Linked DNA regions of Tribolium castaneum. The protein of the gene in region 1 binds, or shares a complex with, the protein of each later gene. Links are inferred from orthologs where the notes say so. Each region holds a gene or a part of one and is shown in the gene's direction. Other genes may lie near its edges.

Region 1 (3,652 bases):
TAAATAAAAATTACTTATGTAGTTGTAAAAAAACTATATTTTATAATTTAATTAGCAAAGAATACATTTGCACTAATATATAACTTTTAATCGTTAGTTAGATTGGCCCTATCTCTTGCGTTATTACATAAATTTATCCCGTAAATGTTAATATTTCATTAATTAATTGCTGTTGTACTGAAAACTGCTTGAAATTGTATTTACCTAACTTAGTAGCTTTTACCATTTAAGTAGTAGTATTGAGTAGTATTTATCTTTAAAAAACGAAATTTTTTAGCTAAATATTTGGATAAAGAGTAAGGCATTCAAAGATTCCGGTTAAATAAGTTATTTTTCGGGCTAGTGAAAAATTAAATTAAGATACTGCGTTTTTGCTTAGGACCGTCGAATTGTCTAGCAATATTTATTTGAGTGTGGAAAAGTGCAGCTTTTGTGTTGGAATTCCTTACCGAATTTTAGAAATCTTGTGTTCAAATCGGCAATAAAATTGATTCTATCTTGAATTTTTATTTTCTAAAAATGAACAATAAATAAATTGGTTATAGAAAATGTTATTTCAATTTTTATTTTAGATGTTTCGATCAAAAAGCAAAAATTATATTTATTTGAATTTTTATTTAATTATTTTTAGAGGAAAATATTACGTATTTAATAACAATCGCTGGTTTCTGTGTAATTATCAGTTTTTGAGATGCTTTTAGCTGTCCCACTTTGTATACACATAATTTATGTGGAATAAAAAAACAATGAATTAATTATTCTTTTAGACATTACATTGTCACTTTGTGATAATCACTAAAATTACTTGATCGTGTAAAAATAAAGTAAAATAAATATAATAAAACAGTTTTATGGAACAAAGAAATGGATTAAAAATTACTGAATTTTCCTAAAAAGTTATTGGACTAAAGATATAGGAGGAGAATAATGTTTAATTAAATTTTTAACGAAGAAATAAAAATAGAGCCGTGGCTTACATTTAATGAAATAAAAACTTATCAGAATAAAAAAATCTTCAGCTAGATTTATTAAGTAAATTTTACAAACAACAGTATTGCATTTTTCGTAATACATTAAATAACGAAGGGAGCACGTGACATCCACTTCAAAGTTGGTTTCAAAAAGAAAGAATTTGAAACAAATTAAAAGCGAAATCTTACCTTGTGGGGTTTTGTCACTTTTTTACCAGAAAGATAATTTAAAGTGCAGTCACAACTGTTCTTATAATTATTTAATCAACTATTATATTAAATTATTATGAATTTTATTTGGCAAATCCAATTAAAAGACGTCGGTAATTCTAATTATAATAAACAACGAATTTTATTCAATTAATTACAAAAAAAAGAGCATAAGTTGTCTTTTAGCGTTTGCTTTTAATTTTATATATTTTTATATTTTATTTATACTGAAGTATTTCTAAGAAGAATATGCATTTGCATCCCTTTAATACATTTCTGGTCACTTAATCCTTGAGGTCCAATTTTCAGCGAGACTTTCCAGGTTTTTTAGAATTTGAACATTGTTATCAGGAGCGGACTGCGCGATCACTTGCATCGACTCGACATTTTCGGGCGTTTCGCACGAAAACTACAGTAAAGCGTACCTAGACCGCGAAAAAGACGACGAAGGAATTAGCATCGACGAGGATTTCAAATGGACTCGTTACGGCATGGTGGTGGCCGGCTTCCAAGACGGTTCAATCCGAGTGTTTGACCGCCGTTGCAGCCCCACAGAGGCCCGAATCGCCGTGTTTATGGAACATTCCGGCCCGATTTTAGGCGTCCACTTACTCGGAAACACATTTTATAGTGGAAGGTAATTCACCAATTTATTATTGAATTTTTCTAACGGAAAGTAATAGCACCGACGGCCACGTCCGAGTCTTCGACGTGCGCAACCACAGGGTTGTGCACACGACCCAAGCCATCCAGAACAACATGTCCTGCTTTGCGCTGCATCGGGGGACCGCCACCTACGCCTGGTATGTTAGCGGTGGTGGAGTTTGAGTTATTGTGTTGTTGGTTTCAGCGGGTCTCTGAACCAAAATGTGAGCATTTACGGGTTCAACGGGTGTCTCCTGAACACGATCAAGTTCTACGAGGGCTTCATGGGCCACCGTACCGGCAACGTCACGTGCCTGAACTACCATCCGCTGAAGGTGGCGCTGGCCACAGGCACGTCCGACTGCTCGGTGAGCGTCTACTGTTTGGAAGGTAAAAGGTGACGCGATTCCCAGCCCTAGAGCTCGGTCTGGAGCCTCTTGGGCTACTACTATTAGCGGAAATTTTGCTTTGCGCTTCGGTTTTACTGTAAATATTTTACGTTGGTAACTTGAAATTTTATCGTGTATATAGAATTTTAATTGAAACGCTTTATTGTAGCTATTAACCGAGTAATAGTACAGTACAGGGAATTTTGTTGTTAGTTTTTTAAGACTGATTGTTGTTTTACGAATTAGGGCGGGTAGGCCTACGCAACCGTAGGGTGATTCATACGTAGATGTGACCAGTTGTTAAGTAATTCTAAGCGAACGTTTCGATTTTTTTTATTATTGTGATACAAGCAATGCAGCAGAGAGAGAGAATGTTCGTCGTTACATTGTACTCAAGTTTAATTTTTTAGAGTGAATCTTTTTTTATCAAACGGACCGATCCGTTGAGTTACCTGAACTCTCGATAATTCTTTATACACTGGCACAACATTTGCACAAAAGTCCGATTGTTGGGGGTTCTTTTTTATAAAATCGTTTAATTGTGGCATAAGTCTTTTAATTTACAATTATAAAATAAATAAAATATATCACAACAAGCGTATCAAACGTTATCATAGTATGACATTTTCCTCTCACTTGTTCCCTTGTCGATCAGCGGAATTTGGCAGTCGTTCGTTTTGCTCGAATCGGTCTCACTGATGTTGTCCACGCTTTGGCACACTTTTAAATGATCGAAGTCGATCGTTTGCCGCCAAATATTGAAAATGTGCGGCTTGACGTTCATCAGAGTCACTTTTTTGTTCGTTTTGTTGAACGTTTTCACGAGATTATCGATTGTCTGGAACAAAACGTGGTCACAATTATTTCAAATACGTTTTATCCAAGCACCTGACAAGCTGCATAATCGACTCGTATAATATTTGAACAATCAAGGACGATGGGTAAATTACGCCTGTTATTATAGGCTTCAATTACGTTGGTTGTTAAGTAATCGGTTGCAGCGTAATAAAGACCGACTTCCGGCTTTATATAAATGTATTGGTTCCCCTGGTTGTCCTAAAACATTTTGAGTTCGAGTGATTACATTTTTCACAACTTACGACTCGAATTTCTTTGGTTATTTGGGGCCGTGCCCACACTTTTAACAAAATCAACAAATTTAAAAGCCCACCCGCGATAATTCCAATCTCGACACCGTAACACACTCCAATGGTTAGTGTTGCCAAAGTCAGGAAAAAATCAAACTCTAAACGAAAAAATTAGTCGGTTCCGTTTTTTTTTTTTGGCAACTCACTGTTACATTTCCACAGTTTGGGGAAAATTTCGTAGTCAAACATTGTGATAATCGCCGATATCAAAATAGCGGCGAGAGTCGACCTTGGGATGTAATAAAAATACGGTGTTAGAAAACTCAAAGCTAGGAGAATTACGGTTCCT
Region 2 (3,533 bases), on another chromosome or scaffold:
AAACCGCAAATTTAAAATTTTAATTTTTTTTCTTATGTTTCTTATAAAAATTTTAATAGTTAGTTTTTCTGTCTGTTAAGAGTGCAAAGCTTAACGTTCCTGATGTTTTCCAAGTAATTAGTGAATTGGTTGGATTTAAATTAATTTAAAACGATTTGGTACTGAGACGATATAACGCTCGAAACGCCCTCATTTTTACAATGTTGTACTATTTTTTCGGGTCCAGAAAATCTCGTTTCGTCTCCTAGCTTATAGTTCACCGTAGCCATGACGACTAAACCGACTTGATTGAATTTTGCCCTATATTTATTTGCCTAGTCTGTAAAAAGTACGATTTCATTACTTCATCATTATATGAGAATTGTTTATAATTCAAAAAATTCATAATTAGGCACAGGTGGAACACCTGTCTGGACACCTGTTGAATTTTGTTCCAAACCTACCAAGCCTAATTTTGGGGTTGTTTGTTGTATGGAACCAACAAAATTTATGAAAAAAATGTGTGATTTATTTATTTGTCAATAAACTGCATACAGAAAAATTAGGTAATGATCAATCACAGTTGACTTTGAGTTGTCATGGCAAGCTGGGTCATAAAACTCTCCCCATGTCCTTGCCATAATTTCTCTCAAAAATAAACTTTTCGTCCGAGTTAATCATTTTTCTGAGAAACGGAGGCCTAAATCGGTGTGACTCACCTCATCTTCTCACATTGCAGAAACAGTTATTGTTCCAAAACCTTTCTAATTTTTGTATCAAGGAAATTTAAATAACAAAAGATACAAATCAACTACTTTTATAAAAAGCCAAAACGTGTACGAAACCGGAAGTAGGACTTACCCAAGAAAACAGAAATTGGTCCCAACCTCCAAGAACTCAAGAAACCCATCTTTGAGACAACTGGATTGCGGTTTTTTCGTTACATTCATTAAAATCATATGCACCATGAAGCAACAACGGGGAGGTGTGTTTATGTTGAAAAAAACATAATTTTATTATTTAAAACCAGTAAATAAACACAAAATAAACGACAGGTTCACAAGACAACAACACCCAGCACCCACACAACACTTTTTCTAGTGACAATTTTAGTGATTTTGTTGTGTGTAGACAGTGCTCCCAATATGAACCAAATTTCAAAAATTTAGCAATTGGGGCCAATGATATCGAAAAGTGTTTGATTTTTTGATAAAACGACACGTTTTAAAATATTAAAATATGCTCAAAAAAAGCGTTGTCGCCTATTATCTAACAATAATGAGCGTTATGTCAAGTTCTTACATAACCTAACTTGTCAATGTTTACATCAGACACGATGGCCCTTTACGACAACAAATACTGGTTATTATCACACATACGCAACTCTTTCATTTCTACAGATGATACAGGTTTGGCTAGGTTTCAAAATCACACTCGATTAACAAAGTTTTAGGAATGTGCGAGTTAATAATGACAGGGGAGGAAGGTGTCAGGAAACACCTGAAGCAAAGCCTTGATTCGTACCCTGATGACGAAGACAGTGAAGATGAAGATGATTTGTCTCACGAATCTTACGACCTACAACTTGACACCGATTTCCCGTTACGATACAGATCGAATACTGCCGTAAGATTAGAAAAATTAGAACAGGTTAAAAAGAGAACTGGCAGAATCAAACATATTAAATGGGAAACGAACAAGAACGAGTTGAGTGAGGAACAAATTGATCAGTTATTCGTAAAAAAGGAACCCAAAGTAATAGAACCGAAGCAATCTTTGTTTTCTAAAACCTTCAAGGAGCATAAGATGATGCCCATTAACCCTTATATGGATTATGCCAAGTTTGATGGCAGCGGACAAGTCAATCTTCAAGTGAAGAAGTATAGAATTTTCCTAACAATGCTACCAGAGCACCAGAGGAATTACCCCTTGGCTGTTTGTTGCACCTCTTCTGCTAAAATTCAAGAGTTGATTGGACTTATATTACTCAAATGCAGGTTTGTTAACTTGATCCTGAAGTTAGGTTGGCAATATTCTAAGTTACTGATGACATAGTTGCACGCTATTGGCTAAGCGTTAAAATGTTGCCAACTTGATTTCAAAGTCACAGGCCACTTTGACCAGGAAATGAAATAATTGAAAAACAAAATTTTTAAGTACAATGTATGAAGACTATCCTTGGAAGCCCGTAAACAATTACGGTTTGTACATAACTGAAGAAGACGGAGAAGTGGATAGGGACTTCCCCAACTTGGACCCGAGGGAAAATATTGCCAAATTTGGGTTTGCTTGTTTAGGGCTTGTGGAACATTCAGATCCCTCAAAGTGTGTCAGTTTTGGGAACTCTGAAACTGTTACAATCAGAAAATTCGATTACAATGACAAAAAAGGAAAAGGTTCGCTTTTGCCACATTTTGGTTTAAAATTTAAATTTTTTCTTTAGATTCGTCTAAACAAGACCAGGAAAAACAAATCACCACCGATTTACACTTAATGGACGTTCATAAAAAAGCAATGGAAGCCCCACTGTACAAATCGTTCAAAGTCTACATGATTAATAAAATGCGGGCCAAAGTTGAAATACATTTAGGAATAAGTGGCGAAAAAATCGAAATTGACCCAGTGCAAAAAAACTCGAAATTTGTTCTAGTTAAACAAAAACCCATAAACCACGATATGGACATGATCGCGTGGTGCGAACCCATTGAAACTACCAAAAGCAACAAAATGACTTTCAAAATCATTTACAGCCATTCGTTCGCAAACGCTGAAAATGGTATTTTTTGTAATTATTTAATTTTCTTGATTATTTAATTGTTTTTCTAGTTTCAAGTCCAACTTTACAATCTTCAGCTAGCTTCAAAAGTTACGAATTTGAGGCAGACCAATCAATTGCCGAAGAAATCGTAAATAAAATAAACCTGATTTTGGATTTGAGGTCTAGTGACACACGGAAGGAGTATTTGGCAGCGCAAGAACGGAAATATTATAAGAAAAAAGCGTTGATTTAAGTAACTTGTATACTAAAATATAATAATAAATTCATAAATTATTTTTTTGCGTTATGATTTGGGAACGTACCCTCGTTACATAACCTCAACCGTCACCTGTCAGCTGTGAGTGTCATTACCCTCTTGAGAAAAAAACAGAAAAAGGAAAATCATGTTTGGCTTTTTTTGACGCTTATCATATATGAGATAAGCACAAGGGGGCTATAAAATGGTAAACTGACTCCACTTTGTGTTATTTCGAACAAAACGGGCCTAAAAATGGTGATAATATAATTTAAAGCGCTATGGATATATTTTTGTTCATGTTCCTAGTTTTTATATCTTTTTTAATTGGTATTATAGTGACTCTCGTGGTGCAATATTATATTTTGTATTCTTATTTTAAAACAAGTCCAGTGGTCACACCAAATGAGAAAAAGTGTTCTACTGATTACGTTTTACCAGAGGTATGTATTAAATATTTATGTTTTTGTGTGTATCGAAGCGCTTTTAGTCTTTGAAAAAACAATTGGATAGTGAAGAATTGAACGATGCGACGAGTTT

Evidence for each region. The genes of interacting proteins can lie anywhere in the genome.
Region 2: raptor (region 1) and Sin1 share a complex: the UniProt entries of both Homo sapiens proteins name them as parts of the mechanistic target of rapamycin complex. The link is inferred for Tribolium castaneum from reciprocal best matches to the Homo sapiens genes RPTOR and MAPKAP1.

The regions. Positions count from the first base shown.
Region 1 is NC_087399.1:3,459,688-3,463,339, reverse strand, and holds the end of raptor (regulatory-associated protein of mTOR), read left to right. Parts: intron 1-1,490; coding exon of another isoform or gene 1,491-1,519; exon of another isoform or gene 1,520-1,532; coding exon 1,533-1,818; intron 1,819-1,864; coding exon 1,865-1,984; intron 1,985-2,031; coding exon 2,032-2,227; 3' UTR 2,228-2,816; downstream 2,817-3,652. Other genes in the region: sodium-independent sulfate anion transporter, read right to left, coding at 2,817-3,053, 3,104-3,271, 3,316-3,461, 3,510-3,650. UniProt on the Homo sapiens protein: Component of the mechanistic target of rapamycin complex 1 (mTORC1), an evolutionarily conserved central nutrient sensor that stimulates anabolic reactions and macromolecule biosynthesis to promote cellular biomass generation and growth.
Region 2 is NC_087397.1:9,927,726-9,931,258, reverse strand, and holds Sin1 (target of rapamycin complex 2 subunit MAPKAP1), read left to right. Parts: upstream 1-1,227; 5' UTR 1,228-1,297; coding exon 1,298-1,388; intron 1,389-1,432; coding exon 1,433-1,976; intron 1,977-2,136; coding exon 2,137-2,375; intron 2,376-2,422; coding exon 2,423-2,755; intron 2,756-2,805; coding exon 2,806-2,990; 3' UTR 2,991-3,033; downstream 3,034-3,533. Other genes in the region: crb (protein crumbs), read right to left, coding at 841-889; Pdzd8 (PDZ domain-containing protein 8), read left to right, coding at 3,275-3,436, 3,484-3,533. UniProt on the Homo sapiens protein: Component of the mechanistic target of rapamycin complex 2 (mTORC2), which transduces signals from growth factors to pathways involved in proliferation, cytoskeletal organization, lipogenesis and anabolic output.